2 linked regions of the Styela clava genome follow. The protein of the gene in region 2 binds, or shares a complex with, the protein of the main gene of each other region. Links are inferred from orthologs where the notes say so. Each region holds a gene or a part of one and is shown on either strand. Other genes may lie near its edges. The genes, in order: nuclear pore complex protein Nup54-like and nucleoporin p58/p45-like.

Evidence for each region.
Region 1: the proteins of nucleoporin p58/p45-like (region 2) and nuclear pore complex protein Nup54-like are in contact, whole or in part, in a crystal structure (PDB 4JO7), measured with the Homo sapiens proteins. The link is inferred for Styela clava from reciprocal best matches to the Homo sapiens genes NUP58 and NUP54. Residues at the interface, in NP_054808.1 of Homo sapiens: Pro342, Tyr345, Phe346, Leu349, Val350, Phe353, Gln356, Leu357, Tyr360, Gln363, Ile364, Leu367, Leu371, Gln374, Ser378, Ile392, Tyr393, Phe396, Leu399, Ala400, Leu403, Ile406, His407, Val410, Lys414, Tyr417, Tyr420, Arg421; in NP_059122.2 of Homo sapiens: Tyr453, Leu459, Glu462, His466, Leu467, Gln469, Gln470, Gln471, Gly473, Leu474, His476, Leu477, Ile478, Ile480, Ile481, Asp484, Leu485, Ile488, Lys489, Leu490, Val491.

The regions. Positions count from the first base shown.
Region 1 is NC_135262.1:8,081,518-8,097,749, reverse strand, and holds the start of nuclear pore complex protein Nup54-like, read right to left. Parts: upstream 6,910-16,232; 5' UTR 6,846-6,909; intron 6,660-6,845; exon of another isoform or gene 6,523-6,659; intron 6,200-6,522; 5' UTR 6,052-6,199; coding exon 5,982-6,051; intron 5,345-5,981; coding exon 5,276-5,344; intron 4,330-5,275; coding exon 4,273-4,329; intron 4,063-4,272; coding exon 4,009-4,062; intron 3,126-4,008; coding exon 2,845-3,125; intron 2,220-2,844; coding exon 2,029-2,219; intron 1,850-2,028; coding exon 1,647-1,849; intron 950-1,646; coding exon 801-949; intron 664-800; coding exon 556-663; intron 1-555. Other genes in the region: F-box and leucine-rich repeat protein 13-like, read left to right, coding at 8,018-8,538, 8,913-9,077, 9,796-9,978, 10,579-10,731, 11,315-11,398, 11,906-12,058, 12,458-12,602; lipid scramblase CLPTM1L-like, read right to left, coding at 14,077-14,149, 14,551-14,666, 14,783-14,883, 15,059-15,093, 15,546-15,628, 15,985-16,195. UniProt on the Homo sapiens protein: Component of the nuclear pore complex, a complex required for the trafficking across the nuclear membrane.
Region 2 is NC_135262.1:10,604,922-10,622,009, reverse strand, and holds the start of nucleoporin p58/p45-like, read right to left. Parts: upstream 6,416-17,088; 5' UTR 6,351-6,415; coding exon 6,298-6,350; intron 5,970-6,297; coding exon 5,761-5,969; intron 5,232-5,760; coding exon 5,193-5,231; intron 4,652-5,192; coding exon 4,390-4,651; intron 3,876-4,389; coding exon 3,744-3,875; intron 3,043-3,743; coding exon 2,920-3,042; intron 2,345-2,919; coding exon 2,226-2,344; intron 1,487-2,225; coding exon 1,404-1,486; intron 900-1,403; coding exon 809-899; intron 378-808; coding exon 234-377; intron 147-233; coding exon 12-146; intron 1-11. Other genes in the region: transmembrane protein 8B-like, read right to left, coding at 8,977-10,860. UniProt on the Homo sapiens protein: Component of the nuclear pore complex, a complex required for the trafficking across the nuclear membrane.

The sequences.
Region 1 (16,232 bases), about 2.5 Mb from region 2:
GTGTAAATAGAAACCCATTTTTATCTTAATAAGATAGCAATATTACTTGTCGTTTAGCGTCGTATTTATTGCAGTATCGTAGTGAAATGTTTGATAAGGTAATACCAATTTCGCATGTACATTTTCGATTACGAACAAGAATTATTTTTCTACTGTGGTCGGTAGTATCAAGGAATCTCATGTTTATCATTGAAGAAGCTGGTAGGATTATTGTCCATGTTGCATATGGAAATAGATCCCCAGTTATTTGTTTCAGATGCATGGATTGACGAAAGTAGAGGAAGCAAGACCCGAGCCACATCCATATGAAACAGAGGAGTCCAGTAATCCTCATCGCACATAGTAACACCCCATCCGAACCCATGACAAGTGTGTTCCAAACGTATTGCACAATTAGCAATACTCTCAAAACTATCATGTGATCACTACAAATTGAAATATAACTATAAGCTTTTGGCATTCCACGGACTTTTATGCTCATACCAATGCCATTCTATTGCAACAACCCCAACTAGTTGGTACAACAATCCATTAGTTGAGAATAAAAAGACTAACCTTCAGAACTCTGTGTGATAGTTGTAAATATTGTCTTTTATTTTGTTCAATCATTGATTGTGCGTTTACTTGCATTTGTTGAAGATCATGTAATTTGTTGCTTAATATCTGAGAACAAAAAAGGTTCAAGTTTGTACTTCATTACCAGCAATAATAAAAACAAATGATTTGTGATTTCTCTAAATATAGAAAAACTTATGCAATAGAAATTATTATCAGATTAATGGAAAATAAAAGGGGTTTACATCTAAACGTGATTGATGTTGTTTGGCCATCATTTCTTGATGCATGAGACGATTCTGTAATTCACTGAATCCAATCATTGGAACTGGAATTAAGGATGTTGGATCTGGATTATCTGCTTTAGCTTGCTCCCATATTACAGCATCGATTCCTGAAATAAGTAAAGTATTGAGAAATTTTAAAATAAGGCACAAACTATTGTTATAGTTCAGTTGGAGAGGGGGACGTAGCTGTGTGATAAAGTTCATTGAATTTAAACCAATAATCAATTGCTATAGGACGGTGAATCGCAGAATCCCCTCTGATTATTTCAGGTTGGATATGGGAATAGTTATTCTGTCAATCGATACAGATGCACGAACTCTGTGGTTTAGATAATGTCACAACTAGTCGATCAAAAGAGTTACATTTATAACTCCCCAGAGTAAAAATTAGAATTTCCAATCAACAACTTTGACTAGAGGTTAAAGTACCGGTAGTCAAAACTTTCCTCAAAAACAATGAGTTAACAGTTTATCGACGAAAGCTCGCATACACCAAAGTTTTCGTTATCAAAACTTGCTTTCCTATGATTCAAAATTTTTCTTACACCGGAGTCGCTTGTAAATAGTACAGCCGTGAATTGACAGAACATAATTGTCCCCATAGAAATCTTGATTCAAACAAAATGTCTTTAAAGGAGCTATGTCAACAGGCATGATATGCCAACATACATGCTATCAATTTAACTCAAACTTATGGAATAAATATAAAAACCTACCCAAATCCCAATACTTCTAAATCAAACAACAATATGGAAATAGCAAGATATGAAAAAACACAAATAAAGCTAAATTAAAATTATCTACCAGATGGAGGATTTTCCAAAATCTGTTTAATCTGTTCAGGTCTCATAGCCGCTCTGGGCATGCATGATACTGCAGCCATATTTTGTTGCAGTTGCTGTTGTATACGACGTTGGCTGACGAATGCGTGGAGTTCTGATGCTGGTACTCTTTTAATTGTGCCAGTGGCAGCCGACTGCTCCTCTACATAGACTGTTATCTCTGTTCTGTATAGAGACATTTGTTTGCAAAGATAGATAGATAAATAAGTAAAATGGGAAAAAAAACTTACAGATTTTATAAACAACCAATCACATCCAATTGCTGTAATTATTTGCAAAGGCTTATATCTATAATGTGAGAAATATAAATGCTGATCCATTTTTGAAAAACGTATCATACATACCTGTCTCCTGGTAGCGATCTGACGGAATCCACTTTGACTGACAAATTGGGTTTTGATTCTAATATCCCATGAATAACGCTTGATATTTTATCATTTCCGACTGAAGTAATTTCGGATTCTTTTTTATTCACCACGATTGCAAGCAGTCCTTCATCATCTTTCGTTTTTGGAAGACAGCTATATCCCACTGCCTGAGAGAAAATATAATTCAACTCTAATTAAGATTTGTAGAAATTCAAAAAACATCAGTTGTTTACTAGAATTTAACAAACAGGAATGACATAATGATTAAATAAATATCTTGTTGATTGGTCCAAATGAAGGATCCATCGAAATAAGCAGTTGAAAAGCATGTAGATCTCAACATGATAATTTTGATTTCGATATTTATCCCGATGGTTAGTGGTTAAAACGTCTGCATCAACTATATCACAGTCTCACAGGTTAAAAATCCCATGAACACAACCAACCCAGGGTACTAAATTGAGGAGGCAATGCCAAACGGGGAAGATATTGGTCTTTTCATTGTATATTAGCACTTTGCTTAGCACTAGCAGTGGATGCTTATACAGTGCCTTGTTCAGAGTGAAAAACTTTTAAATACGCCATATAAAAAAGATGTTAATTGGTCAATCTAAAAGCAATTACATGTTATTGAAAAATATCACAATCTTATACCATCTTCAACTAAGAACCGGTTAACATTACGGAAATGGCCATTGGCCAAAAACAAGAAATTCGTCATAAGTAAGAAAATGTTCAAATCGTGATACAAAATCTTAAGGACGAATTTCATTCAGCTATTAAATGTTCTACCTTGAAGCGACAGAAATGATTCTCTGGAGTAAAAGTCACATGTGATCCATCTTTTCGATAAAAACCTCTACCAGTTCCCCAGAATGCTTGAATCTGATTCCATTTAGCGAGAATCGCATCTCTCTCATCACCAAACACGATAGGAGCAGACAGCGCTGAAGCTGTATTTAAAAGAAGTGTAGTTCCGGGATCCTGACTGTTTTGAACTTGTTGTTGTTGCTGCTGTTGTTGTTGTTGATTTCCTCCAAATAATCCACCTCCTCCTAAAGTTGAAGTGAATCCTAAAATTCAAATAAATACTCATTAAAAATAATTGAAAAAATACTAGCAGCTCAAACAAAAGTGTATGTCTAACAGTCAAAGTAAAAGGAATCTAAAATCAGGGTGGTCCAAACCCAGGCCCGCGGGCCACATTTGGCCCGCCGCTTCATTATCTGTGGCCCGCGCCGCATTCGAAGAGTAATCAAAATATTGTATTTTAAATTGCTTCTTATAAAATAAATCAGAAAAATCGTTTGACATATTGTTGTTATATTACCACTGTGACTGAATTGACTAGTATGATGGCTAGCTGAAGCAACTAGCAAAGTTGAATGATGTGATGGTCAGTTTAAATTGTTACCTAGATTTCTATCGTTTTGGTTGGGGATATTTGCTAACAATATAGGCATAATAGAAAACTAAAAATCGAATGCGGATTTCATTAGCTTTGGTTGGCAATGCCTGATAACTATGTGTTTACACAATAGAAGTGCTTGTTTTGTACTGCACTATTTACCTATTCTTGATACTATTGTGGCCCGCGACCAATGCCAAAATATTTTTGTGGCCCGCGGAGCCCACGACCTTGGACCACCCTGATCTAAATAACATTTATCGAAAAGAATCATTGGTTCACCACAACAAAACTTAACTTCAGGGCTGAAAAAAACTGAATTATTCACATCTTTGCAAATAGAGGATGTCGACTATATTTACATATGACAGATGATCAGGTCAGGATGACAAATTTTTAAAGGGAATCATTTGTGACATAGATAGGCTACATGTGAAAAAAAACATGATGATATTATACTCTCTAATCGGGCTTCCAGAATAAGAGCATTGCGGTAACACATGAATATGAATGAGTGGAAAAAACACTCTCTGATCAGGTTTGAATACCTGTTGAAAATCCTGTAGAAGCAGTTGTTGTCGTCTTTCCAAATCCACTGAATGCTAGATGTAATAAAAAGATAACGTTAGGTGAAGAAAACTATCCAATTATAACTCACATCAAACATGGGAAGTTAATGAAGACTACATCTATTTTATATTCTTATTTTCATGCGCTATCATTGTGTGCAGTCCCACGATGTCAAGTTTCGATTGTCCTATGTCATTGCCATGCATTATATACTTATATACTAACTTCACATACACACTAACCTGAAGTACCAGTATTTCCTCCCCCAAATATACTAGCGGTAGTCTTGGCTCCAAAACCTTTGAACAAAATTGCAAAAATATGAATACCTTATATTGGGCATTAAGACGGTTACCAACATAGGCTTGGCAAAAGTTGAAATTCATTTTATTTTTAATCACTTGATAATAATACATAAAATTTTGAAAATAACAACATTTTAATTGCATTAACTTTACTGAGATAAAAAAAAATTTTTTAATTCATATTGACAAAATAATTTATATTTTTAATAAATAATTTGATCCAAGCATTGAATATAAAATATGAAATGAAATCAAGAATAAAAAAACTTCAATCTTTTACATCAGGGGTGTGCAACTTTTTTCTCAGGCGGGCCAAATTTCAATAATTTCAATTCAATTTGGGTGGAGCCGCGAGCCACACCACCATTTAACGTAGGCTTTCTATTAGTTGCAGGCACAAAATAGTGTCTTTTTGCTATTGATCTCATGCCATCATTAGAGGTTCCTTGCCGAAATGATGGTTTGAAACGCATGATATTGCCAAAGTTGAAGCCACGACTTTTTTTAAATGTAGAAAGTTATCTTGGTGTTTTCGTTATTCTAGATTAGATTTAGACAAAATCAATTGATACATTGAAACCAGAACTCATTTAGCTCTTGTATATCTATAATATAAATTCTTGCTAAACTGCTTGCCAGTTGCCTAAACTTCAATTGCCTGTTCTTACAAGTTCATTAGCGTCTGCTCCATATTTTTCTTAAATTGTTCGCTGCTCAGCAGGGGACAGCTTTGCGAATCAAGTTGTTTGCCTTGCTGTCAGGACGTTGCAACGTCATAGGCATAGATAATAAATTCGACAGCAAAATTTTCCTTTGCGGGCCTCACTTTGCACACCCCTGTTTTACATCACCACATTCATAGCAAAAAAATAAAACTCATAATATAATGTTTAAAAGTACAAACAAGTACACTAAGATTCAACCATTCAATTTTTCTCACCTGTGACTGAAGAAGATCCTGCTCCGAATGTAAAAGCAGAAGCAGTTGTGGCAGGTTTAGCCCCAAAAGCTGTAAAATAAAAAAATATACCATCAGACCTGAAGAAATGCAAGATAAAGGAAGCGTGATTAAAACACAGTTTTTAGTCCTGGAATAGTAAATGTTTAAATCCCAAGTAACAGCAGGTTTTATGTGGTTCAAAAGCAACATCTTACTATTTAGCTAAACAAAACATTCTTTTTTCATTGATTTTTTTTGACTACTTTAAAATGAAACATGGAAATTGAAAAAGTAAAATTAAGCAAACAAATAAGTAGAGTACTGGAGTAGGTAACCATACTGCCAGAAGGGTAATAAAGTCAAAAATCACAAGAAACTCAGCTCATCCACCAAACGAATGCCAATTTTTGAACTGTTTTAACTTTAACAAATAACACAACACAAAAAATCGCAAATCACAGTACTAACAGTCGGGTATTTAATACAAACATGTAGAATTGTCATCACTGCACTAATTAGTGAATAAATTTCAATTTTGTTCGCAAATTGCAGCCTTGAGGTTACATGAAGTTCTAAATTTCAATGGCAAATACGTATGGCATATGTCTGTATGTGGGCCTACTAAACCGACTGTACTGCTTTCTTTATCAAAACATATTTCTGTATTTAGTTTATTATAGCACCGTAATATGAATCATAAAATTACCTGAAGTTGTGCCGCTTTGCCCGAACAATGATCCAGTTCCAGCAGTTTTATTGCCAAAACTAAACGCCATCTTAAGATCACACAACTGTCTGACTGTAGTTTACCACCGCTGTCAGGCTGTAGTACAGTAGTAGGCTTATGCGTTATGATCAAGGTAAAAGCGAAATGCTCCCCACTTTTTTGTGATGGGTTCACAACATGGATTATTCAAAATAAAGCTGCGGAAAGAACATCAGCATCAGTGTATGAAACAACTTCAGGCAGAATTAGAAGGCAAACATCAGTCACAATACTGCAATTACTGAGTTATGAATACAAGTTATACAACATGCGGACATGGTTTGTGTCAATAATCTGATAATTGACATAAACCAACATGCTGACTTTCTGTAGTAATATCAGACAATTGGGCTTGGACCTAATAAAATTATAATTGAAATTAACCTTAAAATGATTCCGGTAATTACGGTATCTGAGCTTAATTAGGATTTTGTCTAAACAGACGCAATATAGGCCTATTTGGGTAGAGATAATTACCTACCATAGCTGAAGCTAGGATACCATCACCATTGCCTATTCACTCACAGGCTCCTAAACGTGCACAACCTAAACTTCTGATTCACGGCCCCAGGTTTTGCTTTTGAACTCGATATAATAAAAGACAAACAAATGGCAATAGGAAGGGTTTACGTGAAAAATGGCTATCGTGCAGCTCTCGGGCGACGCATATTGATAGATAGATAGATAGATAGTTTATTGAATGAAAGAATAATGAACTTAAATCGTTTCAATCAACAAAAACCTTATCACATAAAATAAATCTAATTGAGTCATTAATCGAGTCAAAACCAACTCCTCACTCACACATAAATCCTTTTCTCCATCGCGGAAAATCCCACTCAAATCATCAATCATGGCTTCCCTGCACAACACGACTTATAGTCACTTTGGACTTGATCTGCTCTGCACTCTACAATCCCGCCAGTGGTCTGGTGTTTGCAGGTTTGTTTAGGTTGGTGAAAATGGTTGATTTATCAATAACTGAATAATATGGATGGTGGGTGGTTTCCTAGTCTTATTGCGCCAATATTATTACAGTATTATGTGTTTTACTGCTGTACTGTTGAAACGTTTATCATTTCATCTTATACATTTCTTAGTAATATAGCCAATACTGCAATGGGCGAACATAGGAAAGTTTGCTGCATGAATAATCGGGTCTAGTATAGTACCACAAGTACTTCCGGTGGGCGTAGCATAACGAATTTTGCATATGCTATTCATAACCCCCACCTGACTATGTCATCCAAAAATGAAGTCACTGTGACGTCACCATCACGTCATAGGGATTGCCAAAGTATAATTACGATCGCCCGAAATGGGCAAATGGCATCCGCGCCGCCGATAACAAACTTGCTAAAGCTGGCGATCTCTCTCCTATCGTGATTGTTGTGACGAGAAAACGGGAGAAATTGATTGCTCGATCTCGGGTGATCGTCTGCGCGTTTGGGCGACCATCTGCACACTTTGTGGTGGGGTTATTACGCCAATGTGACGTCGAAATGACGTAATTTTTCGGTGACGTAGTCAGGTGGGGGTTAAGATTGGCATATGCAAAAATGGTTGAGTCAGGCCAACTAGAAGTGCATGTGGTACTAAACTATACCAGACCCAATAGTCCTAACCCCACCTGAGTACGTCACCCAAAAAGTACTTGCGGCGTGTACTTCAGAAGACCCCTAATACCGGTGCTGTAGTACTTACGTCGTGTTGTGAACATGCCCCAGCAGATCATTCAGGGTTTATTGTTTTGATGAATATTATACTATTTTATTTGGCGCATGTTCACTAACTGCCGTACGTACTTCTAGTTGGCCTGGCTCAACAATTTTTGCTACCTGATAAGCACATGCAGACATGTTAAATCGCTAATTTGTATATTACTTTCCAAAAACTTCTTCTTCTGTATCTTATCACAGAATCTGATAGTCTTTATCTGTTTTGATAACCAATGGACAAAAATAGAAAATTTGAAAATGGGGGATGATTGTAATTTGTCATCAGAGATTGTCTCGTTGATCGACAGCAGATGTGCTGAACAACCTTTTGTGGAGAATGTTGACTGGTTATCATTACCTCAAGAAATATGGTTAAATATATTAAAATATTTACCACAAGCGGAACTGTATTTTAATGTATGCAAAGTTTGCAAAAGATGGAATAATTTATGTCGTGACACTTCACTATGGAGGGACATTGATTTTCATAAAATGCATAAGGATATTCAAGTTATGATTGAAAAACACGGTGATATGGCACCTTCGAATGTGTCTAATTCTGATTTTGAAACAATATTAAGGATATTCCACTCATTTGTATACTCGATAAAGATGAGCAGATTTTTTAATGATTGTGGGCTACAAGACACAACTTTACAGTATTTGTGCATGTGCACAAACTTGCAGGAATTAGATATTGGATTCTGTGATGATGTGGATTTATCAACTATTTGTAAACATTGCACAAATCTTCAATCTCTTTGCTTGGAAGGTTGCAGGTAGGATTTATTTTTAGACTGCCGATTCTAACATACCCTGGTTTCATATTGATTTTCTTTATTTGGCATATGGCCAAGTGATGCTTGTTTATGGTATTGTTGTTGAATAGTACAAGTGGAATGTCCAGACAGCTTGTGTAAAAAAGCGTGATGCCACCAAGCGACAATGCATCATAGAATAGGCGTGGGAAAAACTTCTAAAAAATGCATTATTTTCAAATGATTTTTCTAGTCACTTGCCTCTGATTTTTCTAGCCAATTGTCTGTTTTACTTTGTCCGAGTTGGTGATCTCTTCCAATTGTAAGAAGATTAAACACCATAGCTGGATAATATACTTTTTTCATACCTATTTTCGTTTTCTGTTTCATTTTAGTTGCATCGCAGATGATGATTTTTCTGAAATATTTCTGCTTTCTAAGCTGAAAAAATTGTGTGTATCATACTGTGTCTTATTGACGAACAAATTCTTATTATATTTATATCATCTTCCTAATCTTAAAGAACTTAGTTGCGACGGAGTAATGCGAACTACTGAAAGGTTAGTAAAACTTTGAGTTCGCTTCTACAGGGTGACCCAAAATAAGGGTGATTTACTTTCTAATTGGACTTCTGTTTGTGCATCATTGTACCCAAAAATTCCAGGAATCTAGGACGTTTTACACATAAGTTATGTTCTCTCTAGAAAATGTTCCAATTCACCTCTTAATAAGCATAGGAGACAGACTTGTATTCGCAGACTCAAATTGGCAATCCCCAACTCAGTCAATCCCTCACCTCATTGGACTTGAACACATCATATTTTTTATCTGTGGGGGTATTCGAAGGATGGGGTGTATCAGAACATTCCCCAATCAATTGGTGAACTTAAAACTGCAATTGCAACAAAAATCAGAAAAATCCCCATAGTGATGTGTGTTTGTGATTTGTGACGATTTTGCGCAACGCTTGCAATTGTATCTTTCATGCCTTGAGTTTCGAGATCAGGAAATTTCGGGTACAATCATGCACAAACAGAAGTTGAAGCAAAACAAAATCTAATAAATTTTTTCATTTTTGTAGAAGTTATTAACAAATACCCAATTTATTATACTCTGGGTGAGTGGTGGGCTTGCACCGTGGCTGTTAGACCATAGAACTAAAAAATATTCTTGATTCTTATATTTGAAAATATCTTTGGTATGTATTCCTGTACATATCACTTGCACATGATACTTTTAGTTACTGTCTGTCTGATCTCTTGAATTTTCAATCTACAGTGGTTTGGTCAATTTCATACGTCATCAACCTTCAATGGAAAAGTTAATTCTAGATGGTGAAGAAATGACAGATGACCTTGTTTTATTTGCAACATCACATTTACCAGGATTAATTGTTTTTGAGCTTTCTTTTTGTCAATCACTCTCCGATATCAGTGTTTATTCGTTTCAAGGAAGATATAAGTAAGTTTTCTAGTGAAAATAATAAGGGAGGGATGTTATACATGAAATTGGTTTAAAGTGCAAACAATTGCTCTTATTACCTTGTTTTATGAAACTTATTTATAAATAATTTGCTCAAAGTAGAGACACACCCACCCAGAAGTAAAGGAGTTTTATTACTTTTATATGAGTCATATCTAAGCAAAGTTGTGGGCAACTTTAAGTTAAACTGAGAGCTACTGAATATATGCTATGCATCAGATGCTAGCAAACTTTGATTGATGCAAGATTTGAAGCAGTTTAAGTCAATCCACATGAAGACCTGAAGTGTTTATTTTTTTGGATAGACAAGTTTTGAAACTTGCGAAAAACACAGTTTGTTTAATATCTGTAAAATAAACACAGCAAAGCTGTATTTAGTGACAGTGAAGACTGAAGAGTTCATAGTTCGGCAACTGATTCTAGAAACAATCAAATATAAAAGGAACAGGAAAAAAAACCATATTATGTTTGAATGTTTGAATATTCTTTTTCATCATTTAAATCTTTTGGTTTGATTAAATTAAGAACCCCCTTTTTTATAAATATGCATTAAAATAATTTTACTTCTTATTTTTATAGACTTGAAAGTTTGAAATTCAGGAAAGCTTCAAACCTCACCGGAGCATCAATATGCAAATTATTTCATTCGTCTTCTATATTTAATATTAAAAGTTTTACAATAACAGAATGTGAATACATGGATGATGATGCACTTATTTCTATGTCATACAGGTATTGTTGATAATTAATTATCTGCCTTTTTTTTTTATTAACTGGAATCTTGAACCATCGGCAGTTGGCACATAGTGCTATGTGTTAAGAACACGCTTGTTATTACACCTCTGATTACATTTTGCTGTTTCACACTCAGATCTTATCCTGTGAGGGATAATTATGTAAGAGAGTATCACTGGACTCCTTGCCATCACAGGCTGGTTACGGTAACCACTGGTCGGTCCAGGCTTACTCCATCAAGTCCATGCATCTGGAGCAAGTAACTGGCACGGACTGGTAACCGGTGGTGGTTCACCATATGATTGAGCCAACATAGTATATTCTAGGATAACATTTTCTGATATGGTATACTCTTATAAATATAGTTAGATCTGGGCTTTCCAGATAACCTCAATAAGAGGGAAACAAAATAGCCTAGTAAAACTATTGTTACCTGCCATTGTGGTCAAGCTCGCATAAAACAACAAATGGCAGCTATATAAGCCAGGATAGGAGTTAACACAAGATGTTGCTGCTATAAATGAATGTTGAGTAACCTAATTCAGCCGCTAATGTTATAAATAAAATTTCCTGTTTTAAGCTGCCCACAACTCGAACTTCTCACTATAGATTGGTGCTGGAAGATCACTGATAAAGGAATGTGTGGAGTCGTTGATAACTGCAAGTATGATAGGTTGCGAATGAAATATAAACTAAATTTGTTCATATTTATCTTGAACATCAAATTGCTATCATTATCTCTTAAAGCCCTTATATCACATAGTACTATATAAAATGGAATTTCTAACTTATTTTCAAGTCATCTCTTATTTAATGATATAGTTGTGCGAATAATTGAAGTTGGCTGCATCAGTGTTTTGGGGTGTGTCAAGGGCCAGGCTTAAGCCCTCTTTTCAAATACTTGATTTGATCACCTCACTCATAGATACCTAACCCATTGTTGTTTATAAAATCTACTATGACTCCCAAGGAGTTTATTTTCTATTTATTGGGAGAAGTTGAGGAGACTTGAGTCATTTACTCGATTCGAGACTTGGATGATCAATGACTCGACTTGTCGCACTTTTGCAACCTCTACTCAACACTGATTGAAACCAATTTCCACATCTATAGTTGCATTTAAATGAGAATTTTGGCATTATACACTATATCTATATTCTTCTCTGTTCAGAAAACTGAAACGGATGTCGCTAATTGGTTTATTCGGTATTGAAGGAGATAAATGGTTGAATGATTTGGATAAAACATTACCTAGACTGGAATTTTTAGATTTGACTGATTGTAACAATATGCCTGATGACTGCTTGGTCGACTTGGTTTGCAGGTTGGTACAGTAAGCTATGTTGGTCATGTATAAAATTGTTAACTCTGTGTTTTGTATATGCTTCCCATAATTTTGCTGTTTTGAATTAAAGGGATGAACTTATTATTCTATCATGCTTGTCTTTTCAGCAAACTCAGTGTACTTGAGAATTGCTATGTGTCATAAGATTTCTTTGAAAGGCAAACATGTCTATTGATATTTCCATGAGCCGTTCCCAATTATATGTAAGGAGCTACAGTTCTGGGGATGGCTGGAGTCTACCCACTTTATTGCCACGTAGATGGGGTGACTGGGTTGGGTTGCAAGACATTCATTAAACTATTATGAGAGAGAAGTCTTTTTGAATCACCAGAGAAGATGTCAACTGTAAAATACAAATGAATAATTCTCTGATTTTAGGAAACGGAATCTTGAAGTATATACCTATTATCACGATCGAGTGCTCGTACCAAGTGTTTCACCAGAACCTATTTCATCTAGCATGGAGGAAGAGTTTATTGAATGGGTTTGTCCAGGAGAGAGGGGGGCAAAGGTCATCTTCTGATTCAATCAAACCGGTCATTTTTCAATGTTGAGAATTCCAGTTTCACACTCAGGCATGCACATTATGTATTGATTTGGGTTGATATCTTTCATGTATTCCTGCCTTTCATGGAAATCTTCTTTTACCATGCTCTTCAGTATCTAAATTGCTATGTTTCAATACTTTCCCACTGTGAAGGAATAAAATTTATACGCTGGTGTCCACTTTCAATCAAACTTTAGTCAATGAGGTGTGTTTGTCATTGTGCCAGTGTGGGTAGGTCCAGCTGAATACTAATAAATGCTCTGCCAGGTTCATATACTTTCATAGCGAGTGAGTTGAAATCTTGTTCGGTGTATTGAGATTATTAGATAACTCTGTAGAGTTCGAGGTTCAACAGGTCTTATTTCTGCTTATTGGGCGGTGTTGTCAATCTACTTCCGTAGCTAACCCTCGACACAGTATTACAAGTCACAGTCCAGTAAAATTCCACAGCAAGTATAACTAACGGCAGTGTAGCACAGTGAATAACGAATCTACTGTGTGTATGTATGGCGCGTCCGGTTACAATATATTTGTGTCTCCAGCCCAACAACTCAAATCCTACAATTTGCAAACCAACCGCAGCATCTAACAAAGAAACTTATGTGACCAGGCCTTATTGCACTGTTTCGGACACCAAGTAGAACACTATGATAATACCAAGGGCATGAATATAAAAAAGCTGATATAAGAGTATTGCACCATTATTGCCAAAACTTTGGTTAATTCACGAAAGTAAAATTTCTGCCTGTAACAAACTCTGCAAAGAGAGAAAAAATTTCAGTACACAGGACTTTGGTGTTGTGGTGCAAGACATGGAGATGAGCATGTTTGTACCTATTCATGGAATGGAACCATTTAGCCTCTGATGCAATGGACAATAATCAACCAGCTTATGTGAACCACATAGTCCATTAAATCGATGGCACTTAATAATTATGAACATGGGATTCAAAGCCAAGCCCTTTAATTTGTTCATTGATTGATAATTTTTTCATTCATAAGGTAGGTTAAGGCTACAAATTTCAAAAACGAATCAATCGTATGCTTTTCTTTAATCTGAATTTATTTGGTTAGACAGAGCAGTAAATGTGTCAAAATAATTTATGCAATAAGTATTGGGACAGAAACAAGTCCATATATTGAAATCAACAAGAGCTGATGAGGTATTCGAAAAAGAAGTTCTAAATACTAAAAATTTACTATCTTGTTCAAGCATCCTTGTGGTGAGTACCACATACGGATCCGGAAGAGAAGGTAATCAAGTAGAAAGGACCTGCAGTTCAATACAAATATCCGAGTTCCCCCATTAAAATTTAATTCAGTAACCAAACACGAGTACACGCTTCAAGTCATTTCCTAGACCAAATGGAACAAAATAATATAAATAAGCAGCTTCAAACACTGTTGATGTATAAAACTATTAGGAAAAGCTTCATCGGAACAGTGGAAACTATTTTTCTTTTTTGTCTTCTTCATAAGATATGCCATATTCATTCGCTCTTTTTTTATCCACAGGATATAACCTAATAATACATAAAGAAATAACAAATAATCGTTTCTGTTAACTAAATATAAGCATGATCAAACTATTTCCATTTGGGCGCAAAACAGATATGAAATCCCAAAATATTAACAAGTTTGCTCAAAGCAAATCCTCACTTTAATTCAAAGACAATTCTCAGAAAATGGAAATGACTACAACTACTGACAAGTTAACAGTTGTAAATAGATTTCTTTGGTGGACAATTTGGTAGGACACAAGTCAGAGAAATAAATTCCACAAGCGCAACTCTTTCATCAATATCATTTTACTTTTGGTTTAAAAATACGAACATTTATTTGTACAAAATAAATGATTAAAATTCATGATAAAAGTAGACTGTATCACAAAAAATTGATTAAAAAAAATGAAATACCAACTTACCATCTTTGATACAAGTAACAGAAGAAAACGACATCATCACGAAAACAAGCAATTCTATGACTAGTCGGCATTTTAATAATGAATGCAAAAACATCATCAATAAAGGTGTTGAATGCCTAAAATAAGAACAATTACAGCAAGAGTAAAATCAAATATTTTGTGAATTTTAAATAAATGAAACTGTATTATTAATAGGCGTAGTCAATCCTAAGGAAAAACCAAAGTATCATACCTTATATGTAAATGCCTTCCATGGTAAATGTGCTACCGATTTTAATTTATAATTGATAAAAAGTTGTGGCAACATGAATAGAAATCCAAATGCATATACACCTGTATAAAAAAAGATGTAAGTTTGAGTTTACATACATAGTATCAACAATAACAAAAAAATCTCGAGAAGACTCAGAAAATTGAAATATTAATTCATATTTACGGGTTGCCTATTACCAACTTATATAATTTAATAAAAATTAATATATTTCCAAGGCAATGAGAATATACTCACCATTAACTAAACTATTGATCACCCAAGAGTACCATCTGAAATTAGAATATAATGCATTAGATATGAGGAAGTAACAAATATTTCGCAAAGTACTGAAATCATATAGAAAATATGTATGTCCCTATGACAATATTCAGAAAGTGTGATACTGTAACTTCAATGTATTAAAATCGGCACTTCAGAAGTGTATGTACCAATATGGAGGTAACTAATTTTGTTCGCCTACTTCTCATCAAGTTGTATAAAGAGACTGAAACCTATAAGGGTTTATTCGATCGGCTACACTCGTAATAGAACTAAAATAGTTCCAGTTACACTAGAAAGCGGAAAATCGGAATAAAATGATTGCCTAACCCTAATCTAGTACATATACTAGGGTAACGGGAGTGCCCTAAAATCTCCCCTAGGGACCCATTGTTTATGATATTGTGAGAGGGGGAATATTTTCAATAATGTTTACTTATAAGTTAACTACCATTCTACTCACCCTTTCTGAGGGACATAGAAGAGCGAGTAAATTGCTCCAAACACACTCAATGGATAAAGAATATAGGATAGATATTTGATTGCCTGTATAAAACAGATATTAGAATTTTAAAACAAACTTATCATGTATACTTTCAACAACAAAATTAAAGTTAATCCACTTTTTATCTTGGCCTAAATGTAGTTATATATATATATATATTTTTTTTTTTTCTGGTGATATTATATTAGTCATAATAATATGCAGTTCATGCCATACAACGTTAAGCTAAATTGCATTGATGAAATAGCTGTATACTGGATCTCTATGATAGTATGAAAAAACCCAGCAAAGTTCAGTTTTTCATCCTTTTTTCACATTCTGAGATTTGCAACAATTAGAAATTACATAAATAAGATATAGATATATCCTAGGTTTTACTAAAAAAAATCAAACTTGCCTGGTGATCATAGTTATCAGTAGTTTTCTCCTTTCCAGAAAGTGTGCCAAATTGCACTGAAAACTTCCAACCATTTTTAATGATTTTAACTTTTAATGCCTTCGTTACTTTCCATATTTCAATAATAGATCCTATGCCAGCAGGTACTAAGACAATATAGCTAGTTTGTTCATCCATCAGATATAGAAATATAATGAAGGTGCTCACACACCTAATAGGAAAATAATAATAATAAAAAAGTACACTGC
Region 2 (17,088 bases):
GAAATTTGTACCTGCACTGAGGGGTTTAGTAGTTGAACCAAACCCACTAAAACCTCCGAACTTTGATCCAGTGGTTGTAGATCCACCACCAAATAAACTTGCAGTGCCAATAGGTTTGTTTGCTCCGCCAAATAGTCCTGTACCACCTGATACGAAATAGGGATGACATAATTTAAAACAAGTGTTACACATGCCCTTTTGCAATGATACTGCCATTCCCTATCATCACCTACCAGCTGGTTGTGTGGACAAAAGACCTTGTTGAGGTGGTCCCTGTTGCTGTTGACTTTGCTGATTAACCATTGATGCCATAGCTAAAGCAGCAACATTACTGAGTTGGTTGAACGGAGATAAGCCGGAAGTCTTTTGAGATTTTTCTGTGTAGAAAATGCATCAACTAGATATTTTTCTCTCAAATATGTCATTGTTGAATGTATTCTCATAGAGTTTTCATTCAATTTTGTTTGACACTTTATACAAAATTTTACAACATGATGTACAGAATTAATATAGTACATTAAGAATTGCAGCGAGAACTTCACTATATTAAAATGTTAAATGAACCTAGGATAGACTCATAATCCCTTATTTTCCCGTCTTTCGAAGCCTCTGATCACATAGCTTATTAATTAGGATACCACCAAATCGGAAAAGTATATCATTTCAGGTATATAACATGGCAATGTATCTTAAACTAAAGCACTGGTTTACCCAAATAAATGGGCAGGTGCATGAGAGTTCGATTTTTTATAATTTGGCCTATTTTATTACCATGTCAGACAAATGAAGAAACATCATCAAGATTTACCTTGCGTAAGCTTCTGTTTATTTGCAGCAAAAATGTCGAAAGTATCATTATGTACAATTCTTCGATAAACCAGATATTGTTCTTTAAGAATCTTAAAAATATTGATATTAACGGATTTATTACTGGCACATTTGCAACTACATAGCAACATTGTGCAATTTGTTTTGACACATTTTAGCTAGATCAATTCAACGAAGTAGTATGGACGTATGGTTATGTGATCTGACACTGCGCAGTCTTCACGTCTCCAGCTGACCACAAGATGCGCAATTTTTAATTATCACACACAAATAACGAATCCAATAGGGCAACTAAAAGTTAAAGCCTTCTAGCGAACAATCTTCAACCAACCAAAATGAACATGAAGAAGAAATCCTAACAAGATCAATGACAATGTAATAACAAAACGCTCCAAAGGTCAACTTCATGTACAAAAAGACTCATGCCAGCTAGATTCATTGTATCATAACCCAAATACCCTGATTTTTTAGCATTGCTTTCTTGTTTAAATGATCAAATGATGGAAGTAAGTAATAAAAAATTTTAAATCAAATTCCGACTGTAATGCATTAGTAATATAAATAGCAATTCATACCTTGACTTGATCATGTATAGAATGTAGATTAGCCGCAAGTGCGATAAAAGATTCCTGCATCTTGCATAAAGCCACATAAATATCTAAAAACATAAAAAAGATAAATTGAAACCAAAATCATATTGAAAGTGCTATAAAATATTATCATCGTAATAAAGGTAAGAATTATTTGTACAAAATGCAGAAGTAGCTATGTAGGACATTCCATTCTTGACCAACAGAAAACAATGACCCGCAACTAATCTTTCGAGACGTCAACTAAGTATATTGAATTGAATACGACATTCGCATCATGTGTCATGAGCGCATTGCAAACCAAGTTGATATTTGGAAGCCGACACTACTAGTCACGTCAGGGACGTCACATTTCAGAACAAGCAATGTGATACAGTGAAAACAAATACATTTTGTACACACACAACTACGAAGGTTTGAAATGACCAAAATGTGATAAATTGACACAGCTATACGATTGGAGAGATCCTTAATAGGCTTATTAAATTGATTAACTGGCTATAAAGAATCTGACACTTCCATCCTGCAATTTAAGAGACATGGCATGATCACAAAAATCAATCAGATTATTTTAAAAATGCATTACATGAAAAGTGAGTAATACTCAGGCTCGACAAAAGGGCAAATACTTCAATTTGAAAAATAAATAAATAAGAAATAGCTCTTTAAGATAGTATCTGATCACAACTTGAAGTATTTTGATGAAAAGTAATACGAGTTTATTAACAACCAAAACTATACGATGTCCTGATTTTTATAATATAAATAATACATCAGCAAAGTAACCAATATGAAGGTGAAACATACCTTGTGGTGTTAAATTGATAGACTGATCGGTTAAGCTAAGATGATTTTCTAATTCTTCAATTTGTTTTCTATATATTTGTATACTTGATTCAAATTCTGATAACATGTTCATAAAAAACCTGAAATAAATAGTATGGTATGTGTACCAGTTTAGGGTTGTTCAGGTTGTGCGTCATCTTGGTACGAATATTTTCGGATGTATAAATTATAAGCAAAATGCCAATAAACTTTGTTGTTACTTTGTATGTTGTCTGCTGTTGTCTAAAACGGATTCATTATTTCACAACTTTTTACAATTGTAATAAAATCAACAATTTTTCACTGGGAAATTCGCTCGAAAGTCAGGCACACTTACTCGAAAATATAGGTGATCAATCTCTGCGCGAAGTGAGAGTGCTACTGAGACTATAAATCAATATAGCGCGAATTACGTAACAGTAATTATCGGTTGGTGCAAGAACTTAAAGCAGTTCACCAGGAAAACAGCTACAATCCAAATATTGATATTGCAAAATTTCGGAAATATTCCCATATATTGAACTGATACAGCAATGAAAGAAAATCAAAAATATGATTGTGTTGTTATATTCCTCTATTAAAGCGGCCCTATTCGCCCACTTAATAGGTTGCCTAACTCTGTGTATAAATTGTGATTTTTCCATATTTTTGATATCAAAATATTTCATTTACTCACTTGATAGGAGCAATATTATCGTGTTGTAATGAAGGTGGAATATCTTGAGTATGTTTCGCTATTTCAATGTATCGTAATTCTTCAGTAAAATCAGAACGTAACTTTTGAACTGCAGCGTTGTTCCTAGTAATAAAGCAATACACAGTGACTAACTCACAATATTTTGGTAGAATGTTTAAATCCTCACTTCAGACAACAATCTTAGAGATGAACAATTAACCTATTATACCAGTTAAATGAGGTGCGAAGGACTAAGTAAAACTAAGAACAACCATGTTATTCATGGTTATGAATGGACTAAAGCAGCGGTTCCCAACCTTCAATGGCTTGTGGCCCCCTTACAAGGGCTTTCACCGCTTATGTCCCCCATTTATCATTCCAGAGGTAGAATCCAAATTCCACTATGTTCAAACAATTTATGCTCATTGAAGTGAAAACACCCTGTGAAATAACCTTAGCAAGCAATGAAACTACAAAAACGAGTAATTGTCGATTTTTGCGCGTAGCATTGTCGCCCCCCCCCCTCCAACTGTTGTGTGGTCCCCTTGGGGTGTCCCCGGTTGGAAACCGCTGAACTGAAGGCAACAATACTTTTTTCCTATTTTACATCAGACAGACCCAAGATACAACCTTTTTTTCAATAGAGCCTAGGCTATATGATCAATCGTAGGCTATTTCATTCCTACCTCAGCGAACGAAATATCAATTAACTCAAGTACAAAATTTAAAAAATGTCAAACAGAATTTGAATATCTATATATATATAAATAAATTATTATTACTCAGTTCTACGGTGCATATTTAAAAACGAATGGTGAACCTACCTATGTAAGGCTGATGAAACACTGCCGAGAGCATAAGAAAGTGACGAAACTTCTTCTTGTATTTTACGAAGTGATCGAATTGAAAATTTACCGATGGTGTTACTTCCTTCTTTTTGCTTCTTCACAAAATTCCTGAATGAGTAAGATAAAAATAATGAACGTATGAAAACCAAACCAATTTTGAGAAAATTATCCCAGTAACAAGTGGGAATATTACGTCAATTATTTGAAGCAGAGGTACCGGTAATTGATAATTGATGCGCCACGTTTAATAAAAAAGCAAATAGATAAGAAGATGAAGTATAGGTAAATGTATTACAGTCAAATTACTTTAAATTAACTAATTCATTATGAGTGACAGCCAGTGGAAGCTTTTGCTTGTGGCACCTACAGTACTGTTTGAACAGCCTTCTGAATAGGGGCCCAAGGCCCAGTTTAAAAATACTCAATTTTAAGATTGTTTCCAAGCAACATTTGCCTTAGAAAGTTGACCTAAACCACATCCGCATGTATACTATATTGTAATTAAAATTGTCAGCATTACTTAAATACTCTTTTATTTAGCTTTCTTTATTAGGCTAATTAATTTCAAGTCTGTTTGAACACATTTTAATTAAAAACGGTTATTCTAAACGGTCATACTAACTCAAAATCTTTAACATCCTTGCACAATTCATCTGGGACTTGCTGTTCCTTCAACGCTTGTCCTACGCCGTTATTTTTGTTGCCATTACCGTCGCTTTGATTACTTGTGCTGGCGGTCGACGAGACACCTCCGAGTCCTCTGAAAGCAGGTGCCGATGTAGTTGCTGCGCTTGTGCCAAAAGCCGATCCTGTGGTTGATGTGGCCGTTAAACTGCCACCGGTATTCCCAAGAGATAATCCGGTGTTGCCGCCAAATAAGAAACCTGATTTTATTAATAACTATATATAGTGATAATGCCATAAAAGGATAACGTTAAATTTAAGAAATACGCAAGATCGAAAGAACAAGATATATAAAGTGTTTATAAAGTTTTAATTAATTTTCGAATTCCGAAGAGAATTTATCGATACCATATATAGTTTGTTGGCCCCAACGAGTGTATTGAAGTTAAAACTCAAATAAATAAATAATGATTGAAATAAACAACCTGGTTAAGATATATTGAAAAACGACTCCATAACAGAATTGAAATTGTAAACTGAACTCTATGAACACCCTCTTGCTGTTATAATCATTACCAAATAAAGAATGAAACTCAGATAAAAATTTTAACTATTGATCCCTTATCCAAACAATTCTGATAAAAAATTCTTTTATGGCAAATTTATCATATATTTCAAAATTTTGTCAAAATATGATACAAGAGATACAGTATAAAAAGTGTATAAATTTGTTCTAATGAATGGCAATCAACATAAACAACATGCTTTAAATAGGAATTATAATTTTACTATGTTAAGTACCTGATGCTGTTGTTGCTGTAGATCCACCAAGCTTAAATCCTGAAATGTAAATTAGGATTCTTGTTTTCAAACTTCGAACAGATTGTGCTTTGTGGCTAGTTTGTATAAAATGTCCCAAATTGAATGTCATTGTCTTTAATTCAGTTTTCCAATTCAACTATAACTTTATATAAATAGATACAACTTGAACCAAAATCGTGATGAATTTCAATTGTTAGTATCCTCAAAAAAATTTAAACTATTTTTCGAATGGATCAACATTTTGCACAAATTTATCATTTCGGGCAATAGAATATTGATAACTGTGGTACATACAAAGGTTGTTATCAAATCATAGTTTTGGTCCATCAACACACACATCAAAAAAATGAAGATGATGTTAACCATGCTAAAATCATTTTATTAATGAACTTAATATTATTCAAATGATTCTTTCAGTCATCATGACTGGATAAGCACATTGAAAAATAATACTTTCCAAGTTTATTGTATTTACCAACAAACTATTCAATTACTGAAGACGTTTTTTTTTAACTTTCATGGAACAAGCAAATGATAGGTAATATACCTCCGCCGAATCCTGACCCACCCAGCCCAGTTGAAGTAGTTGTGTTAGCGGAGGCACCAAAGAGCGAGCTTGATGTTGCTTTGGCAGGTTGTGACGATGTATTTCCAAAACTGAAACCGGTGCTCGCACTCGGAGCAGATGAAGTTGTAGCATTCCCAAAACCAAAAGGCTGAACTGTACCAGTTGCTTTCGTTGTTGCCGTTGACGATCTGATTAAAAATATAAGATAAATTATATCTGATTCAAAGTAAGAAGCTCGCCATGGCAAATGTTGATATATGTGAAATTAAGATTTCTTTTAAATATCAACTATTCCCATTACCGACATAAACTGGTTACTAGACGGGGGAGCTTGTATTTCCATATTATTATGAAGCCATATTATCGAATTTCCTCTCCCCGGGGAGAAATATGAAATTTCCATCCTGTTTCAACTTGATATTGTCAGAACAATGGAATATTTAGCGTATTCATTCTGTACCCAACTTACAGAGCGGAAAAAAAATTTTTGCGATTTAGTTTCAGGCATCAACTTACCCAAATGAAAATCCAGGTTTCGAAGCACCCGTATTACCAAAACTGAAAGCCATTTCAGATTTCACTCTTTTACCAAAAAAAATTGACTAATTCTAAAATCGCAAAATCTGAAAAAAGGTGATATCATGATTAACAAAAAGAAGAAATAATTAGAAGAGTTAAACAGTGCAAAATAAACAGAACAACCAGGAAACCACAATTGAATTTTACAATTAAAGTTGTACAAATACAGATAGAGTAAACACAATAAGAACGAAATCAAACATAACATAACGGCAGATATGAGAAATCGAAAAGTAAACAGTACCAAACTGGAAAATTTTATTTAACTGAACTGAAACATTCAGAACATATTTGTTGCCCAGTAGACTAGAATATTGTACAGAAATTAGAAAACTGGAAAAATCTTGAATGTGTCTATTAAATAACGTACAGCAAACCCAAAAAACAGAAGCCATATGTTTCTTAATTACTCCAATGAAAATGAAAAAATTCGATCAACACTTGTTGTTTGTGTATGGAATGTATCCAAAATGTTTAATGAAATCTAGGACGCTTTGCACATGTGAAGTTATTTTGTCTCTAGAATATTTTCAAATGACCCAAGTTCTGCTTTTTTGAAAGGCCAACCTGTACCATACAGAAATAAAATGCTAATGTTTTGTTAATAATACATTAGAAATTGGAGTATATATATGGAAGATATTTATTATTCATATTTACCTTTAAGAAAATGGAACATTTTCATTATATAAGACCAATTTCATATGAAATTCAAGTAAATTTCTTTTTCACAAAAGTTACAAAATAAAATTTGTGAAACTGTGACAATACCGTTTGAACGATACAAAAAAGCAGTTTTGAATTTTTCAATAACATCCTTGCATAATTCCTATTACTCCTAACACAAAGGCAGAGAAACAGTCAGAGTTTTAATCATCAGAGTTTTTATAATACCAAACTTAATATAGACTTAAAACAACTAACACATAGAATAACTTTCTAAATCAAACTAAGCTAGATTTTATGAACACGGCACACTATTGAATCATAAAAAATACAGCACATCTCTTACAGTATATCATCGCATATTAGCAGAGTGTAAAACTCAAGGAAGAGTTGCCAAAGCAAGGGGTCGACTTAAACGTGCATAACTCTGATTGCATTCAAACGAGTGAAATTGTGCTAACTTAATTCCAACAGCTACAACTCGAACCATGCTAAGTTCTCACGATTTGTAGGTTTAGCTTTTATGGGAATTTTTAAGAATTCGTTGTTTTAAGGTCGTTTTCAGGGGGTCGGCTTATATGCGAGGATATGCAGTAATTCAATCTGATCTAAAAATGCTTCAAACTGAAAAATATTTACAAAACACAAAAATATGCAATAAAGAACATTCATGAAACTTTAATATAAATTGGTATAAAGCTTCCATATAAGTTAGATAATACTGGGCACAGGACAGGAACTTTCTGTAGCTTCCCATAATCGTTTATTTACAATATGACTGGAATTGTACCATAAAAATGAAAGCACTGATTACTGAATAATGGAGCAATGAAAAAAAAAATTAACCTAAGGTCACATATACCGATTAAAATACCGCATAATTGGCATAAAAACATCTTTTTTAACAGGGTTTTTGAAAGGAGTAGCGTACCATGTATAAATTTTTATAGTAAATGAAGCATGATAATCTGAAAATGGGTTTTAGAAAAATATTCATTGCTAACAAATGGAGAATTGAAAAAAATTTCTATGCAAAATATGCAAGATTTGGGTCTCATCAGCAGAGAGAGAGAGAAAGACATGAAAAAAATGCCGTTTCAGTCAGAAAACGTGAAAAATTATGAAAAAAATAATTATATGAAAAAAAAACTCAAATTGAAGAAAACTTTCAAGAAGGTAAATAACTTGAGGCGGGATACGTTTTTTTATCCTATATAAATGCTGAACCAATGTATTGTTGCCAATTCAATATTTCAACTATTACAAAAGATAGACCAGATAAATTGAGAATAAATAAGAATGAAAAATAGCTGGAATTCTAAATCTGAGACAAACAAATGTCTATTATTAATATAACAGTAACAAAATTATCCCTGAGAATTTAATCACTATATCAAGTGAAACATATTATTGAGGTTCACTATACAAAGCTTATTTAAAACCACTCATTGAAATGTTTTTTACATTCTATAACTGTTATTTAAAAAAAAATTTGATGAAGAAAAATACTAGCAGTAAAAGTTTATAAGGACCAATGTTTAGGCTATTTAAAATACCATAGTGAAAAATTAGAATATAAATTGATGATCATTTACAGAGATGATTTTGTCAAATATGCAGAATTATACTATCTTATACAAGCAAGCCCTCAATATCTAACGACTTAACGAGCTACTATTATTTTGAATGACTTATCCAATTTACCACATTGGGTGAAGTGGGGTACACAGGGTTTGAACACAAGATGTGTAATCTACAATGCCAACACATAAGTCTAATACTTCAGCTGCAACACCATCATGCTGGTATTATAAAAATGAAGTTCAGTGCAGAGTTTTGGAACATTCTGTATGAATATCCCTGCTTGTGACATGTTTATAACAAAATTAAGAATCTTGAGGTCTGTACTTAATCTATCTGCCTAATGTGCATATAAAACAATGTTTCCCACTATGAAGAATCATCAGATAATTCTAGATGAAAAGTGGTTGAATCTGTGGCATTTACATTATTATAATGAGTACCAGATATGCTGCCATCCTCCGATTCAACGTCAACTTGGGAAGAAAATTTCTTTTCTTTTGGGATCAAAAATAAAACTGCTGATCCCATTAAAACATGCCACATGCTGTGTACATAAAAATAATTATCTGGATCCTCAACAAATACAAATAATACAAAACCTAAAATGGCACATAATGCTCCTGGTATGAATGAAAACAACCAGACACGTTTTGCTGGATAGCAAGTATGTGAAGCCTTACATTGCCTTCCCCACCTAATTGCAAGGATAAACAGTCCACACAGCACTGGAACTAACGTAGTAAAAACACTGAATCTGTTATCTGTAACACCAACGCTAATTGCCATCAACCCCGCAATATGAAAACATGATTCAAGGATAAAAGGAAGGCGGCACATCGCAATCAAAGTTACCCACATCGCTGAAATAGATCCCAAAAAATCGGAAAACTGTAAAGTATTATAGGGCATGATACATACAGAAGCTGCAAAATCATTGTCACAAGCATGATAGAATGTTGAAAAAAACATAACAAAAAAGTAAACTATCGACTCTGAGTAAAATCCTTTCATAATTGCCAGTACGCCACAAGGAAAAAATATTATATTACTTAGAGTTAGCAGGAGTACAACAAGTAGTTGTTTGCTTCGAGGTACTGCATTTGTACCATCAGTGCAAGCAATGCCTTGCCAACCTCCTCTACAATCACAAGCCGAGAAAAATAAGATATCAGTGCGGTAAATTTTGCATTCACCTTGAGATGTACCAGAATGACATGAATCAATGCACTGAACGATATTTGTATCGAGATTTATATTGATATCAGTATTATCACAATCTCCTTCGATGCATTCAATTCCAACATCTAGAGCCCACAGACCACCTTTTGGAAACGGCCAGTACCATATATCATAAGCATCTTGTGATGAATTTACAATTAAACTGTGCCCGTTTTCACATGTATCGTAAGTGAATGGTGTATCGCTGTTCCATGTCGCACATCCACGTAACAAAATTGTATCGTTTTTTGATAATAAAGATGAGTTAAAACTAAGTTTTATTCTTAAAGTACCACCAACATCAGAATAAGGTTGTACGATCCAGCTGAATTTTAACGATTTATTTGTACTTATATTGTACCCTTCTTTTGACGTAATGTAATCTGTACTCAGTAGGCCGTTTCTGTACCGATCTAAGAATATATTATTTTCATATTGATTTGTATCCAGTGTATCAAAATAATTCTCACTTGTCATGACGGCTATATCCAATGGAAGATCGCTATATGCTTTGATGATGAGTTGAACTATGTATTCGCATTCATTCGGTATTTCAATTCTGCTTTGAACAGGTTTTTCGATAAAAACAGAAATGTAAAATTCTCCTGTTGTATTCCCTTCATCAGAGAAAATCATGATGTATTCGTCGTGTCGGTTTGGAAGGGATTGGGTTATACGAAACCCCCCAATAGCTGTTTCGTTCAAATTCAGCCATGTGTTATCTGGGTATGTAGCACCCGTGGGGTTGGGGACCGGTAAACCCCACTTTCGCACCAAAACCATGATTTTTACATGGGGGCATGATTCAGGTGAACCAGAACCAGTGTTCTCAATTCCGCCCGTCCATTCAAATGAAAAATTAGGAAGGTACGAAGCAGGAATAGGTGCATATATTACTTCTTGACTACCAACGTCAGAGTATTCAGAAAGCGCTAACGGCCCAAATTTCAGAACAGTTTGACTTGTAATGTTTTTGCTGATAACACAATGTATTCCATTAATTAGTACCAAGAATACAATGTTTAATAACATAACTGTTATCAGATACCTGTAGAAAAAAATATTTTAAAATTTATGAAAGGCAGAAAAGAAAGAGTGTTGGTGTGCTAATTTGGTATGCGATCTTAAGGCAGCAATGGTTGTGAGATCTATGTGATGTTACTTAGGATTAGAAACCGAATACTACGAGAATCTCTTCATGCAATTGAGATAATGTTGAGTGAGACGGCATACCAAAGTGCCAACTATAAATGGGGTCTTGTGTAGTTTCGTACCAAACGTACTCTTAGTGGGCTTAGCATTATTAATTTTCAATATGTCAATCCTAAGCCCCATCTGACTACGGCATCCAAAAATTACATCACTATGACATCACAATCAAGTCATAAAGCTTGCTAAATACACGTAGGATCACCCGAAATGGGATTGGCGCCGTCGATAAAGAACTGACTCACATTATCAATCTCTCTCCTATTGGAATCGTTGCGACGAGAAAATATCTGTTCGATTTCGGGTGCTCGTTTGCGCGTCTTGGATGGCAGTTTGTATAGTTTGAAGAGCTCTATTACGTCACTGTGGCGTCGTAAAGCCGTAATTTTTGGATGGTGTAGTCAGGTGGGGGTTAGAATTGATACGTGAAAAATATGTCATGCTACGCCCGTCATGCTACGCCCACTAGAAGTAGACTATGTTAGGTACGAAACTACAAAAGACCCTTATAAATGTTATATTACATATTACCTTATCACTATAGCACTGCCCAGCATACTGACATAAGAAACAAATACCTATAAGTAAATTTAGTGTAAAATATTTTTAGATAGATATTCTGCCATTGGTACACATTTCAATATGAAATATAATGCACAATCACTCAAGTCAAGTCCAGAAGTAGGACAAAATTAAATATAAAATACCATATCCAAAATGGACTGGTAATCGGACGTGCTTCGTAAAATAATACAACGTAGTCGTAGTCTGCATTGAGTTCAAATTCATAGATCAAAACAAATAAATTTAATTGTCACATGACATTCAGACATTACTGCATTACGAACCCTGACAAATCGCCCTCACCTGACCCAATCGCTGAAGTTTTACGTATTTACTGAACAATAAAATATTTGCTTCACAGTCTAAACATTGCCTGAATAAATGCGCCATGGCAATACAAGAGATAAAAAATGAAGGTTTGATAAATTAAACCAGTTTGTAGGCGCCAACGCTCGAAGTCACCTCTGTGAATAGCACGCTACAGGCAGCGCTATTTTCGTATTTTGCACTTGGTCGGTCTCTAATGGAAATGTCAAAAAGTGGTGAAGAGGGATAACAATCTACATCACACAACCTTTTGTCGCTCGCGGGTCAAAATTATGAGTTGCAGGACTTGGCGGGCCGCACATATTTTATGAAAGTTAAAAACCGAACGGATGGCCGATGAATCAACAATTTTTCACACATATAAGATGTTTATTAAGCAGCACGCGAAGACTGCGACAATTTGTGAACTCAACTTAGTCGTCTTACATGAACAAGAAAAAAAAAATTACAAATGACATTTGATGCGACACTTTTTGTTGCAGCACGCTTGATATGATTTCGATATCAGGCGGCACGGGACACTGGATGGAGCCAAGATTTAAACATTTTCTAAAATGGGAATCACCAATTCGAGTTCTCAGCTTGTTCTTTGTAATGTTCATTCGTGTAATTTTTTCGAATGGTTTGTCAAATCTAGCTGTGATAGACTAGGCTAAAGTTCTTCACCGGTAATTTCCAACTCGCCAATCCATTATTGAAATAAGCACCGAAAATTTTACAATAGTGAAATATGGAAGAATTTCCCGGGGGTCAAAAGTCGGGGAAAGGTCCATTAAATTATAAGCTAATTGTGAATTATATACTTGTTGGGCTATATTATAAGTTAGTCTATACGTGTATCCCAATAAATGATGTTACGTAAAGAATATATGCGGTAAAACAGTCGGTTCGTTACTATAATTCAGTGAAGCGTCGTGGGCCGGATTATTTTACTCCGCGGGCCGTAGGTTGCCGACCCCTGATCTACATCACCAGAGGGGTATAACATACGGCTTGTGGGTCACTGTCCGGTCCGCGGAGCCAATTTACGTGCTCCATAAGAGTAGACTTACCATAGGTCTCGGTTTAGTTGGGAGAGTCCCGATTTCAGCAAGTTGGTTTAGTTGGTAGACCTAAATCTCCCGGTTATGCACTATGGGTCACAAATATAGCTTACTTTTGTGCCCGTAATCTATCCACAATGGTATGTAAAACGTTTAAACTATAACTAAGTCTTGTCTAATCCACACTGTCCCTGTTTTTTGCTTCAGACATATGGCAAGCCTACGTAAGTGATCTATCCCATTATTTTATAATGCTTTTTCTCATTGTAACGAACCTATCGGTGTTTTTGAAGTTTGAATTACCATGTTTACGTCACACTGGAATGACTATGCTTCTGACAAGATTTTAATAATGTGATATTTTTTATTGGTGCCTTGTTGTGATTAAAAAAGTTGAAATTTCTACCAGTAAAAAGCAAGGTTGATTATGAATAGCTCGACATTGAGTGGTGTCTGAAATACATTATAAACACAATCAGGATGTAGTTATCGTAATGTGTCAAAACAGGCAACAATATTGAGAAACACTCCCATCAATTACGAAATCAATGTGGATCAATGACGGTTCGAAAATATTCATCGAAAAGTGTCTTTCGAGAAGAAATATTTAGTAAAGCAGCACCCTGTCGAATATCTCCCGGAAAATATCAAATTAGAACAAAATTACGAGCAATCGAAAGTATGAGCATATTGTTACAGGAGCTATGTATATGGACATTACACAAATTTGAAAAAAAATTATACACAAGAAATGGTTTTTTCTCCCAGCAACACGTAGCCTATTACTGTGAGAATGTTATCATGACGCCGTGGAAGACAAAATGCAGCAAACAGCTTACAAATGAGCACTTGTTAGCTCAACTTAAAGCCTAATAAGTTCTTAAATGGTCCGGCCCTCGGCGTCACCAGAAATTTGCAAAAAAAATTGAAAAAAGATGAACCAATAGCATGTAACTGAATATCGAAAGAAGCATTAATATCGGCACTCTAAACTCCGCCATGGCAGAATATACTTGTTCTGTCCACACATGATGGAACTCCATAAGCTATTCACATATATTTTCATGTAGTACTGTGTAATCAATCAATTTTATAATGTCGTGCTTGAAGTGCTGCTAAATTGCCATTCCAATGCTTGTTCTGTGCACTTACTATCAAATTTATTGATATCTTCATCCAATCAAATTAAAAATTTTTTTTTAATACTGTTATGAGTATAACATTTATTTCTAGACTTGCAAAGTTTATCAACCTAAAATCCTCTTTTTCGATCGTTTTACTGCGCGAGCACACGCGCACACCTTAGAGCAGTGGTTCTTAAACTTTTCCGAGCGCGACCCAAATCTGAGTTTTATGAATACTCGCGACCCAATCCTAAATAACGCAAAATGTGTTTTTAATGTTAGTACAGTTTGACTCAAATACAGACAACTATTTATTAGAAACAGTCCATTGACTCAGTGAGATTGATGAAACTAAAATTTCCTTTTCATTATATCTTCAATACACAGCTCTATTTTACTTAACGCAATACGCAAGTTGTCATGGGTATCGAGGCGATTGCGAGCTTAGTTTTGATAACCGTCAGTGCCAAATATCCTCGCTCGCACAAGTGCCTTGTCGCGAATTGTAGCAGAAAAGGCGTCCGCTGTCCATCGCAAACACGACATCCTAGCTGGCCTTTGGTATCTCTCGAGATGAAGTCACATTTTCTCTAGATATTGAATGATCTAATGTCGAGAAGCGAGCTTTTTCATTGCGTCGTCTATTACAATTTACATTACCAAAAAGACACCCTTTTTTGGTTATTCTAATCCACTAAGACGACATTCCACGCGGTCAACACAACGACAAGCGACGTGCATGGTTACCGATACCATAAAAATAATACATGTGAATGGCATATCAGAATTGTGATGTAACAATGAGCTCAAGACAGTTCTTTCCGTGAATGAAATTTTATATTTCATTATTTTTAAATACCAGAGTTTAGAAGCTAAATTGAAACATTGGGAAAGCTGAAAATTCTTCCTTCTCCTCTTAGATTGCCCTTGCATTGACGACCTTGTCGCGACCCATTTTTAAACCTTGCGCGACCCATGTTTGGGTCGCGACCCATACTTTAAGAACCACTGCCTTAGAGGGAACACTGATTGTGACAATATAAAATAAAATGACAGGCAGATAATTTGTTTTCTACTAGTCGACACTTCATATCTGGTTCATTGTAGAGTTCAGAGGGCATGTGTAAAATTATATATTTCTACACTGCATGCAGCACTGTGATCTAGTTCTAGTATACAGATTCAACCAGCATGAAAAGAATACCAACAATAGATTACACTAATATTAAGGTAAGACAATTATTAATGGTATAAGCTAATTAATATCATTTAACTTCTCTAATATATATATATAGTCTGTGATCTAGTACAATACTGATCTATACATAAATATATATATATATATGGTCTATACATAAAATATGGACGATTAAATATATTCATATGAAATCACATGGAAGACGTGTGTAAAGCTCTCAAACAACTATCAGTTGTTCCCGCATTACTCATACCGCCGCGGTATGGGTAAGCAAAATCCAATACCGTCACTCCATCTCCAGAGACCACATTCTTCACGAGCATAATTTTCGTGATGATTCGAAGAATTGACAAACGCGATTGTTTATACAGGCCCTACTCGGAATTGTTTTGATTCAAATATGTCTGCTTCTCTCAAGTTTTATTCAGGCAGCTATTCCGTCTTATCCAACCGCAGACTAATCCGTTTATTAAATCTTATTTTCATTAATGGTTATAAAGTGCATTTCAACATACCAGAGGTTTCATAAAGCGAGGCAAAATCTGCTGAACAAATCATATTTATTAGCTTAATAACTTTGGAAGCCGATTTTCACGACTTAACCTCGTGCCAAAAGTAATAAACTTTTGAAGAATCATGATGGTTATTCAAATAGGTCTCGTATTGCACGTCAATATTCATTTTATAATTTTCGTTTGTTGGACGATAATTTACGAATTAAACTGCAATAAACCCAACAAAACAGAAGCATGTCGAAATACCATAATATCGCTCCAGTGATACAATTCTGCAACAAGCCATACGGTATTTTTGGGCAAACATTTGTAACTTTTAGTCTGCTTCGTTACATTTTCAAGTCATTCTGATATGGCCACCAGTTGTGGGATTCAGCCGATTCGCACCGGTTCTATAGAACCGTCTCACAGAATTTTATGAGATCAGCGAACCGGTTAGCATTATTGGTTACTGTCAATAATTTTTTGTAACAGAACCGTTTGAAAAATATGACTTTTGTGATGAAACCGGTTGACATAAAAATTGAACCCCACCACTGGTTACAACTACTATTAACTAACTAGTTACAGAACAAGATTCTAATGCGACTCAGAAATATAAAAAATACTATAGGTTTTGCTGTTAACGTAATATAACAGTAAGGACCATAATATTGCCTCTATTAATTTTATTATCTCCGATATTAATTTTACAATACAATCGAGTCACATAAACAAAACACATGTGTCTAACTTATTTTTGTTGCCAAATGAATATTGTTAACTAATAATAGATTTGTTTTTGAGAATTACCTTAAAAATGAACGCACAAACACTTCATATTACTCGTTAAAATAACTTCTCTCTTTTCATATCAAAAACCATTCGTCTTCGCGGAGCAGGGTTCTGTCTCGGCTTCATTATTGCAGAACAATCCGCATGATAAAAATCCATGTAAAACAAGATAGGCCTAAATCATGTATACTGCTAATCATATAACATGTGAATTGTTTAATTTTGTTACATCTGATGGCGAAAGCCACGATTCGATCAATATCTATGGCGTCAAAAACAATTTTTATTGCTGATGTTAAATACCTAAATTCATCTGTTAATTTGTTACACCTTTTGCACGGATTTTCACTAAATTAATATAGTAATGAAGTCTTCTTTAGATTGGGCCAACATCTTACGTGTCGTCATCTGTATTGAATTCGATCACCTCATTGGTCCTTATATATTGTTGCCGGCGATATTAGCGGTTTGAGTACGAAGTCTTTATTGTGTGTTCCTTAGGCTAT